Linked DNA regions of Sus scrofa. The protein of the gene in region 1 interacts with the protein of each later gene in a biochemical or structural test. Links are inferred from orthologs where the notes say so. Each region holds a gene or a part of one and is shown in the gene's direction. Other genes may lie near its edges.

Region 1 (8,199 bases):
TCTGACCCAACACTATTTACTGAGAGGAATTTTCATTCCTTATGAATGATAGTGCCACCTTTGTCATAAATCAGGTGATTATATATATGAGTCTGTACTTTCAGTTAATTGTAGTATTTGTCTATCCTCACACCAAGAGCACACTGTTTGAATTACAATAGCTCCACAATAATTTGTAATTATCTGTTAGTGAAAACTCTCCAACTTTGTTCTTCTTAAGATTCTCTTGGCTATTTAGACCCATTTTTATGTCTACATGTATTTTAGAATTTACACACACACACACTCCTGGTGGGACTGATTGGGGCTTCACTAACTCTACAGATCAACTTTAGGGGAGTTTACATCTTTACAACCTTAATCTTACCAATCCATGACTATAATATATTTCTCCATTTATTTAGGTATTTTTTAATTTTGCTCATTTATACTATGTATGTGTTTAGAGTTCTTGCACATATTTTATGTTTGTTGATGAAATTATTCTTAAAAATCATTTAAAAATAGTTTATAGCAATACAATTAATTTTTAGACATTAACATAACACCGAGAAACCTTGTTAAATCTATTTATTGATTGTAATATTTTATCTGAGGATTCTGTGGATTTTCTATGTATATGTAGCCTGCAAACAATAAAAACTTCATTCTCCTTTTCCAAACCTCATAACTTTTACTTTGTTTTCTTGTTATGCTGACTAGTATATTAAAGTAGAATTTGATATAATTTATACAAACATTTTAGTGGATTAAGGAACATTCCTTCTATTCCTAGTTCACCAGGAGGTTTTGTATTTTTTTACTTTTTGTGAGTTTGAGTTAAATGTTTGAATAATTTCTCTGCATTTATCTTTTATATATATATAATGATTTTTATTTTTTTACATTATAGCTGGTTTACAGTGTTCTGTCAGTTTTCCACTGTACAGCATGGTGGCCCAGTTACACATACATGTATACATTCTTTTTTCTTACATTATCTTGCTCCATCATAAGTGACCAGACATAGTTCCCAGTGTGTTTTTAATGTGATCAATCACAATAACTGGGTTTCAGGTATTAAAATGAACCTTTGTTTGCCCAAATAAAATGAACTTCATTGTGATACATATATTGTTGTTTTACTATAGCACTGGATTTGTTTTGTTTTGAGAATAACTTGGTTATGGTACAAATCATATTCTTTTGAAAAAGTAGCTGCATTATATTCCCTTGTTTGAAATAATTGTTTCAAAGAGTTCCCAATTAAAAGACATTTGGGTGGTTTTCAGTGAATATGTTCTTAGAAATAAGGCATCAATAAAAAAACATATATATATATATATATATATATCCTTATATGCTGCTGATTTTATTTCTGTAAGGTAGATTCTTAAAAGACGAATTGATGCGCAACAGATTACATACATTTTAATAGCTATTTTCATGTTATTTTCTTAAAATGTATCAATATTTCACCAGTGTGGAATATGAATAGCTTTTTTCTCATCCCCTTTCCAGAATTGAATGTTATTCTAACAACTATACCTCTCATCAGTTTAATCTAAGTGTCTTACACATTTTTTGGATCCCAAGTAGTTCTAATCATATTTCTGATGGGTCCTTCTCGTAGGTTTATAATCTAGTGTTTGTTTACGAATGCCCCCATAAACTTAAACTGTTATAGATTCCTCATTTGGTTTTATTTTGTATATTTGGATTTTTAATCTATCTGAAACTCAAATAGTTTAAATTACATGAGTCTAACTTTATGGAAACACTATTATCATATATTCCATTTTAAATGACTGAATGGAAATATATTTAGTGTACCACTTTGGCAGGATTTCTTTTTGGATTTTATTCTGTTCCATAATTTTGTCTATTCCAGTACCAATTCCTTACTGCTCTGATCAGAGTAGCATAATCATATAAAATGGGGTGTGCCCCAATCTTTGTGTTTAAAAAAAATTCTGAACAATTCTTGTGCTTCTATTCCTTTCTGAAATAGGAGCTGTGTTATGTCTCTGAATATTTCCCATCTGATGAACTTTTTAGAAAGAGGACTGAAAGGTCTGATAATAATAAGTATTTGGGAAACATAAAATATCTGCCTGTAAATAATGACAAAGACAGATTTTCAATAGGCATAACATCTCAGGCTGATGCTAATTGAGAAATACCTGGTTGAGGCTCCATCCTGAGAGTTGTTCTATGTTTAAGGAAATTTTGGAGTGAAGCATAACATTTTTGTCAACATAAATTATCCACTGCTATGCAAAAGGCCAATCTGGGGATAGAAAACACGACAGCAAATATATTATGTTTTTAACCTAAGGCAATATAATGGAAATGGAAGAGGGTTACTGATAAAATTGCCTTTATGAAGGCACCCGATTGTCTGTCTGTAAGTCCCTTTATCACAATGTTTTTCAAACTTGATTGCATATTGGAATAACTGGAGAGCTTTTCACACTGTTAATGCCCAGGTGAGAGTCCAGCACAATTAATCATCATTTCTGGGAGTGGAAACCAGGCCTTAGTGGTTTGTAAAGTTCCCCAGATGATTCCACTGTCTAGCAATGGTAGAGAACCCTGCTTTAGAAGAGGCTAAGAATCTACTCTGGATGAAAATGCAGAGGAAAACAGGAAAAGAAAATCCTTAGCTGTTGCTAGGCCCCTTGCCAAGCTCTTCTTGTAAAGTTAATTTGTCTTTGGTAGGTGATGGGCAGGATTTGGGGTGACTGAGCTTCTGCAGGAAGAAATGCAGGATGAACTATATATGTGTAGGGGTAGGGGGGAGGAGTAAGGTTACTAACCAAATGAAAGTAGCTTCTGAAATTTTTAGAAAATAATGTCATACGAGCTGTTTATAGTCCAATCTAATTCTAGCTTCAGTGGTGGGAGGAAGGGATGGAGGAGGGAGAGTGATTACACACAGAAAGAAGGGTGGGTAGCTTTGGAGAAATCTCCTAAGAAATATGATTATGCTCAGCCTGTATTCCCCACTTCTTGTCAGTGCATTAGAGTCAGGATACAACGATGGTGGGGTACACACGTGTGAGTGACCCAGATAGCTAAAGCCAGTGACCCTTCTCTTCAGTGTAGTCATCTTATAAGTGGCAATGCTAAATCATTCATGACCTCATGTGCTGCTTTTGGCAAGCGATTCCCTAATTGCTCCTGTTTTTGCATCGATTCTGCGCAGCGTGGAAAAGCGAGTCTCCAACTTGCTGGTGTATTTATTGACCATCGGGTCCCTCCTCAGCTTTCACCTTCCAGTCCTCGCCCACTCTATTTTGGGGGCAGGAAGTGGGAATCGCACCTGTTTCCTCTTCTCAAGCATGAGCTGGGCATTTTAACCGCCCCCTCTTTCCACCAAGCCAGGTGTTGGTGTTTGTGTGTTTTCCAGCTCACCATCCCTTCCCGCCGCCCCACTCCACCCCACCCACCCCCACGCATCCCTATTTCCGTGGGTGAGGACCCAGGAAGGTGATAAATCCACCCTCATACACCGGATCTCCAGCGCGCTACCTGCTTTGGAGAGCATCAGGCAGACCGCGCGGACCCACCTGCCTCCAAAGTTTGGGGCGTGGGAGAGCCAGGGCACGTGGCGTGTGGCTATGGCTCAGCCAAGGGGTCCGGAGCAGTCAGGGGAAGATGCCGCTGGAGATGGATTCACCGACGTCATCAGGAGCCGCGCTGGTAGGACCTTGCTGTTTTGCTTTTTAGCGTGGGGGTGTCGAGCGTTGCGGCTCCTCTCTGCAGAGGCTGTGCCCTAGAAGTTAGTACAGGGTTTCGGAAAGTTGTTGTGGCGAGGAGTGAAGGAGCAGCAGGGGACAATCACTACGCCCCCGAGCTTGGGAGGGTGGGTCCGAGGGAGGAGGGGGCGCCGCTCCTCGAAAAAGCCGAAACTCACGTTTTTCTTTTGGGTCAGGTAGATACTGGTGGGCGAATTTCTTTCTCTCTCTCTCTCTCTTTTTTTTTTTTTCAAGAAAGCCTCGGGATATTGGTTTTATTATAGGATGGTAACGTATTTTAAAAATGTAAAAGAATAAGCAGACTAATTTAAAAGAAATATTGTCGTAGTAATAGCCTTTGAGGAGAGAGGGGTGGGGAGGTGTGGGAAGGCCTGCTGGTCAGGGTGTGGCCAAGTGCTGAGTTAAGAAATCTGAGAAGTTTCACCTCACTTGTAGGAAAATGTCAGAAGGGCAGGGCAGGAAGGTTTGCGTGCCCAGAGCATAACTATAGGAGTTGAAAACCAGTAAAGAAGCAGGAATAAAAAGTCTAAGGTTTTTGCAGGTTACCACAGTGCCCTTTCATTTGTAAAGAATCTTCAAGTATTTGGTAGTCTGGCCTACATGTGCAAACACTTGTAAACTAGGATAGGTCTTTAAAGCTGTAAATGGAAGCAGCTGTTAAGCTTTACCAAAGGATGAAGTTTCAGCTGCTTGAATCCCTTCCTCTCACCCTTGGAAATGCACCAAATTGTGGACAGCAAAATTGTGTTGAATGTTGAAGAAGACAAAGGCATAAAGTTAATGTGCAAGTGTATTTCTGATAAGAAATTAAAGAAAATATCACAGTAGAAAGCAAACAAAAATGAGTAAGAAACAAAAATTGGTTATAAACTCCCCAAAAGGAGTTCAGAGCAGGATTTCTTTTCACAAGGAGTAAACTTGTATATGCAAGTAATGGTGCCCCTAAGTCAAAAAAGAATGGTACCTCTGACAATGCCTGGGAGGAATAGTTGTATCCAATTTTAACATCTCTCTTATCTTCTTTTCCTCATGCCATTACTTAACATGTTTCTCTGATTTTAAAGGGAAATAGGGTAAACTTTCCTAAATGGAATGCCCTTCTCATTCAACACATAGGATGAGAGAATTGGTTTTAAGTAATTACCTTAAAATAGCAATTTGAAAAGATACATTGGATAGTTTCATATATAGCTTTAAAATTGCTATTGTTTATACAGTTTATTAGACAAGTTCCTTGTAGCTATCATCTGAAATATGCAGAAGGGCATTTACTATAAATCTGTAACAGGGTATTATTTTGGGTAAAGTGTGTTAATTTAAGAATTCTACAAAGTATTTTTATATTGTGCTACTTCTACATTTGACAATGCATGAGAAAAGGAGAAAAAGATCTCCAAATTTATTTTTAATACTAGGTTTGTGTGGGTTCCTGTGTTGTGGAAATGGTTAGTTTAAATCCATCTCTAAGGAAAATTTGACCTTTCTATAACTTTGAATTCCACATCAGATATTACTTTTGAGTCACTTTAAAATGGAATTTTGTTGTTGTTGTTGCTGTTTACATTTGTGAAATTAAGCTTTTATTAGAACTGAGACTCCCCATGGGGTGAGTGGTAGGTAAGTCCAACAGGTTACTTTATTTTCACAACCCACCTTTTTCTTTTTGATAAGCCCTTACCTTTAAGGGTTTAGAGCCCATTAAATAAAAAAAAAAATTGCTTTGAATATTTTAGTTTCTGTACCTTCATGAAACCCGTATTTTCTGTATTTTTTTATAGGTTTTGATTTTGTTTTTAATTCTGAAGCACAAGGGGCATCTGCTATTAATAAATGCTTTTTGTAGCCAATTTCTATGCACAGGAAAAAAAATAATGTGGTGGGACTAACAGTAATGCCAAAAAAAAGCAAACCTAAGAACCTGTTATATGGTAATAAATAATTCTCCCCGCTACCACCCCTCCCCCTGACTTTCTCTCACATATTAGTCTTTCCTAGACCTAGTTAAATGACAAGGTAAATTTTACAATGCCTCAAAGGTTATAAAAATAAACTACATAAAATGATTGTTTTCAGTGGCACTATTGAATATTGTTTCTTACACTGTTAAAAAGTATAACTCATAAAAATTGAAGATACAAAGATAATTAAAATAAAAATTTAATAAATAGTCATACTTTATTACATGGATTTTTATACAGGTGTTCTTGATTCATCATTTGAAAAGTCTTAATAGTGTGGTACTTTGAGTATCTCTTAATTTTTCCTCTCACAACTGCTTATGCTTAACTCATCTTCAACAAGGACAATACTTGTACGTAGTTAATCTTTCCATACATGACCTCGATAATCATGGGAGTTCTATGCCTTGGATAAAAACTGTTAGAAAATGAATGGCTAGCCCCAATCAGAACTTTCACTCTGGTATAAAAATCAGCTATCTGGGAGTTCCCGTCATGGCTTAGTGGTTAATGAATCCAACTAGGAAGCATGAGATTGTGGGTTTGATCCCTGGCCTCGCTCAGTGGGTTAAGGATCCGGCTTTGTCGCGAGCTGTGGTGTAGGTCGAAGATGTGGCTCGGATCCTGAGTTGCTGTGGCTGTGGTGTAGGCTGGCAGCTACAGCTCCAATTAGACCCCTAGCCTGGGAACCTCCATATACTGCAGGTGCAGCCCTAGAAAAGACAAAAAAAAAAAAAACAACAAAAACAAAACAACAAAAAAAAGTCAGCTATCTTAAAAGTAAAATCTCAGCAATTAAAAGCATTTCAATACAGTATATTTACAACTGTCAGGTATTTTGTTTGTTGGTTTGTTTGGATACTCAAATACTGGCACTTGATCTCCTATTGATTGGGTATGCTTTCCTGTAGTTAGAAATAGCTCAGTGTAACATAAACAGCTCCATGCTGTTAATCTTTTTAAACCAGATGTAAATTAACTACCTCTGAATAGTTTTATGACTTGTATGTGTGTGTGGTTTGTATTCATTTGGCATCTCCTGGCACATCTTCCGATTTTTTACTGGCACAGAATCATGTATGAATAATTGAGCAAAGTGTACCTATGGATCTGTGTCATGAAAGTTTTTTTTTAACCTCTTTAACACTGAAAAAAATCAGGTATTTTCTTCAGAATAAAATTAGCTGAGCAGGTTTTGCTTTTTAAAAATGTATGTGTGTGTGTGTGACTGGGTCACTTTGCTGTACAGTAGAAATTGACAGAACACTGTAAACCAACTATTATGGAAAAATAAAAATCACTTTAAAAAGAAAAAAATAAAGCATAAGGAAGATTATTCTTAGTTATAGATCTTGGAGTCAGGTGTAACAGGATCTTTCTGGTGATCAGTTTTTCATAAATAGGCTCATATTTTGTTCCAAATTCCAACTATGGGAGATTATTACACCAAATTTTTGATATATTTGGTTATAAAGAGCCTATTGTAAAGGTTAACATATAAAAGTTAGGCCAAATGACTATTTTAAAAAGCACTTAGCTCATTTCTTTAGTATTTTAACTATGTTTATTAAAAACAAGAGTGCAGTATAAGTGGACTCTTTTCACTTTGAGCTAATGGGCTTAAATTATACCCTATTGCCACTAACAATTAGATACTCAGAACAAACTAAGAATCAAATTGGACAAAGATATTAAGGATTTTATAAGGAAAAACAAAAATCAGAAGATGTTTTGAATAACCATTATTTCATAACTGCCAATTATTTCAATTGGAAATATTTTCTTCCTGGCCATTTAGTATCTAAGGAGTCATTTGGTAATGAAGCCTGTATTTATCTAACCCTTGAAAATTACATGTTCATATCATGCTGAATAAGTAGGATAATTCATCATGCCTGTTTGCACGAGAACTACTTTGGTACTTAAAAAAACAAAACAAAAAAACAAAACAAAAAAAAACCTTTAGTGTTAAAATTTTGCTTTGCCTTAATATGTAAGGATTCCTCTCCACAGAGACCTTGTGAAGGAAATTGTAGTGAATACTTTTCACAGATAACAGTTTCTAAAGTATGTTGTACTATAGTGTAAGTTTTATTCTGTTTTAGGTAATTGGTATGACAGCATCGTGATTGCAAAAATAGATAGAGCTAAGGACTAGAAGACTGGAAAACCTTCCCTTTTCATTCTGGATTCTAAGGAGAACCTTGAGATTTATGGGGGCTAAAATATCATTTTATGCAAGTTATTTAACATTATACCAATGGTGTTTTCAAATCTAAGTATTAAATTTTCTCTGATACGACAATGGATTAAATGCAATCCTTTCCTCCAAGGCAGAAAACTGGAAATTTTCATATTGAGTTAATAAGTGCATTTAGTTTGAGACTGAGAACACCTTCTAAGTTTCTGCTTAAAAGTCTTGCATAAAGTTGATAACTTCTTCCAGTTGAATAAATTGAACAAATTTATCTTGACCTTCAGTAATTCTGAGCTCTGTGTCC
Region 2 (3,983 bases), on another chromosome or scaffold:
CAATTAGCTGTAAACTAATGGAGAACAGGTTCCATGCATTAAACTCCTTTATACCCTTCAAAACATAGCACAGCGCTTCATACACACTAGGCAGTTGAAAAGGGATTGAATGAAATATAGAAATCACTATGAAATCAATGACTATACCAAAAGCATTGACTAAAATTGCTTGATATTTGCTATGTATGGCGTGCAAACTACTCAAATGAATGAGTACACACATATGCATGCAGAGATGTACAACACTCCCAGAAAAGAAAGAAAATAAATGAAAATATGAAACTGGAGAGACACACAAATATACAAGAGAATATTCTATGGAAACACTACAATAGAAAATTAATTAATCAATTAATTTTCAATCTTAGATTGTAGGTCACTTAAAAATAATCAAAATATCTCCATTATTTTTCAGTACCTTAAGTTCCCAGGAATTGATTTTAGTGAATTAGCAATCTGTGAGTAGCTGTACAATTAATATTTACAGGGAAATACTGACTTACGTGAACTTGGATAAGTCATGTTATTTGACCTATGTTTCTGTGTCTCCGAAGTGACAGTACTAGTTGCCTTCTCATCCACCTCCTCTGCAAAGATGTTCTGCAAATAAATGAGGTAATGTTTGGGAAATGTTTGCAGCTTGGGAGAGAAACCCACTGCACACATCTCAAATGTTACTATTCCATAGTCAAGCCTGGTATGTTATTGCCTCTGTTTTATTTTTTTAATCACTCAATGAATTTTATTACATTCATAGTTGTACAATGATCATCACAACCAAATTTTATAGCATATCCATCCCAAACCCCCATGCCTCTGTTTTAAATTGAAAATTGTACTGTTTGAGCCCTTGGGTTCTAACCAAAATCTGGGTCAACATAAGATGATGATTATTTTTAATTTTAATTCTGAAGCTCTGTTCAGCTCCCTTGCACGTGTGAGGGCCAACTGTAGGAAATAAACAAAGCACATAAATCAAGGTTTGAAAGAGAAATATCTTTATCCGGAAGAAAAATTTTTTTTTCTCTCAATGAAGACAGTGAACACTGTATTTCCCTGAAAGAATATTTCGGTCCAGAAAGGAGGATAGTGCATGCAGCGTGAGCGTGTGTGTGCGTGTGTGTGCATGTGTGTGTATGTGTGTGTGCTGTGCGTGCGCGCCCGCGGAGAGAAGGGCGGGGGAGGCGGATGAGGAGGATGAGATCATAGTTTCAGGATCCTCAGGAAACCCTGGTACTGGCAGCAGCCAGCCTCTGCTGTGCCCACATGACCCACAACTCTGGCAGCGGACCCGGCACTTCCAACATTATTAAATAATAAGAAAGCGGCTCGGACTCCATGCCCAAACCTCCCTACAAACCGGTGGACACCTTCTAAGAGTTTGGCGAGTCAGCGACTGAGGCGCCCGTCCATTCTAAGGTGTGTGCAAGGCGTTTTCTTCCTTGACAGCTCCCTAGTGGGGGAGGGCGCGGGAGTGCAGGGGGTCCGGGTGGCTGGCGAAGGGTGGGCACGGGGCCCGGGTGCGGCGAGTTGCCCCCGGCCGCCCGGTGCAGCGGCGATGCCCGTGACGCGCAGCCCCAGCTGCGCAGGGACCGCAGCCGCCCACGGCGCCGGGGCGCGGGCACGGGAGCTTGGCCGCCGGAGCAAGGGCAGGCGCCGCGCACCCGGCAAAGTCAAGAGTGGAAACGGGAGGCGAGCGCCGGCTGGGGGGAGGGAATCGCCCTAACGCCCACTCGCGGGGTTCCCACCTGTGCGCGGGCGCCGGCCGCCGGGAGCGCGAAGCATGTGCCGGGCGCCGCAGCCAGGACTGCGGCTCGGCGCCTCCCCGGGCGGCGGGCGGCGCCTCTGGCCCGCGGGGCGGCGGGAGTGGCTGCGGCAGGATGGCCCGCCCGGGGGCGCGGGGCCGCGCAGGTAAATGCCCGCTGCCTGCCGAGGCCCGGCCACGCCGCAGCCCCCACCCCCACCCACACCCCTACCCCCACCCCGCCACCGCTGCCGCCGCCGCTGCGCCGCTCCCGGGCGGGCCATGGCAGCTGGCTCCCTTGCGCCGCAGGTCGAGTTGTTTTTGTGGTCACTGCTACTGTCTCGGTGGTTCCCGCGGGCTGAGCTGCTGGGAGGTGGCGTGGCCACCTCCATTAGGGATGACACTCACGTGGGGAGCAGTCTAGGGGGCTATTATCGACCGGGAAGTCCGCGGTGGGGTCCTCTCCAGCCGGCGGCGTCTGCGCGTGTTGCAATGCACTGCGGTGACCGGGCGGCGGGCCGGGTGGGAGTGGGCGCCCCGTGCTGGGGAGCGGCGCGGGCCGGGCGGGCGCTGGGGGCGGGGTGGGGATGGTGAGTATTCGGCTTTTATAGCCTGTTGCCCACTTTGGAGTTTTCCGCTGGACGGACGGCGGACGCTAGGTTCGTTCTGGTAAGGGAGTGAGAGGTGGCGTGGTGTCTGTCCAAGAGACCAAAGCCAAGGAGAGAAGAGGGCTGGCGGGGCTGGGCCCAGTGGGACCACGCCTGGACTTGGTAGCAAAACTTTGGTCTTTGGCAGGCTTGGGGTATGGCTTTGAGGAGGTAAGTGTAGAGCTTGAGTAGGGGTGGGGGGAGAAAATGGACACATTCTGGCGGTGAAGTTCGCTGCCATTGGGTTCATTGTTGGTCTAAAAAAAAGGTCTTTTGATGTTTCTTCTTTTGATGTTCAGGTTTCCTATTATCTCTTATGATCACTTGGTATTTAATGTGTGTTGTGTTTCCTATGTATCAGTTACCTATGTTGCTAAAAGTATACATAATCATTCATTTCTTTTACAAAAAGGACTTATTTTGCTTATTCCAAAGGTAGAAACTTTAGGAAAAAAGCAGCTTTCCATAATGTTCCAGACACAGTCCTATGAACTTTAGCTTTATTCACTCAATTGTAGGTTTATTCACTAACCTTATGGTAGTTAATTCTTACACTACATAAGGGGTGGGTAATAATACTGTCCACCTTTCACCCATGAGGAAATCCAGATACAGAGGTGAAGTAATTTGCCCAAGGTCATTAAATGTTATTAAATGTTCAGAACCCAGTTGAGCTTTTGTACTCTAAACCAACTTTCATATATTTTTTTTTAATGAAATAGGACCCCATTGTTCCTGAAGTCTTCTCTCTATTGGCTGTATTGACCACACCACTCTACCAAGATGAACATCAACTATGTGCTACATGTTATAATTATGGCAAATATCCTTTGAGTTCTTTCCTTTTCCCACCCTTGACCAAGTTTCCTACCACAATTATAAAGAAGTGTTTATCAGTAGAGTTAAGCTTTTCAGCAGTTAGGATTTATCAGCAAAGTGTATTGTGATAAAGCAGGCGGCTGAATCTGTATGTTTGTGCTTAATTGTAAACTTCCTAAGGTATCAGTCTGTTCTTTGCTCAAGGCAGGGCCATCATTTTCTTCAGAACACCATCTTGCAGAAATGTTGAGCAAGTTTAATCATCTTTAATTCAATCACTCTGACAAGCACTTAGGCAGTTTTAAAAGAAGAATTATGCAATTCTCATTCAACTATCAGCAACTAAAAGCAGACTATATTGTGAGGGTGTTCGTGGATGTCATGCGTTTTCACCAGTTCTGTGTACTTAACACAAAGTTGGGTGGCAATGAAGTTGAAATAGTGTAAATATCTCCACTTGTTTTAAATGAATCATGATGTGAAGAAAGGTCTCAGTGGGGTGAAGTCCAACTGCAACATATTTAGAGAATTACTTCTCATTTGAGCTTATCAGGGAGCTCTCATAATACTCATTTTTATTGGACAGATGTCTCTCTTAGGTCGTCATCTGTTATCTTTTCAAGTAAATTTAATTGCTTCCCATAACGAGTTTCAAAATTATTTTGACATTCATAGATTTCCTTAAGTCTTCTCTTTCAGTTTAATTAAATTCAGTATACATATTTCACTTCCCCCTTACCTAACGTGGTAAGTGAAAAGAGGCTAGAATCCAA

Evidence for each region. The genes of interacting proteins can lie anywhere in the genome.
Region 2: the proteins of DMD (region 1) and DTNA form a complex in vitro, tested with the Homo sapiens proteins (3 studies listed by BioGRID and IntAct, with this or other methods). The link is inferred for Sus scrofa from reciprocal best matches to the Homo sapiens genes DMD and DTNA.

Annotation. Positions count from the first base shown.
Region 1 is NC_010461.5:29,645,972-29,654,170, reverse strand, and holds the start of DMD (dystrophin), read left to right. Parts: upstream 1-3,443; 5' UTR 3,444-3,602; coding exon 3,603-3,684; intron 3,685-8,199. UniProt on the Homo sapiens protein: Anchors the extracellular matrix to the cytoskeleton via F-actin. Ligand for dystroglycan.
Region 2 is NC_010448.4:118,331,892-118,335,874, forward strand, and holds the start of DTNA (dystrobrevin alpha), read left to right. Parts: upstream 1-1,183; 5' UTR 1,184-1,419; intron 1,420-2,152; exon of another isoform or gene 2,153-2,465; intron 2,466-3,983. UniProt on the Homo sapiens protein: May be involved in the formation and stability of synapses as well as being involved in the clustering of nicotinic acetylcholine receptors.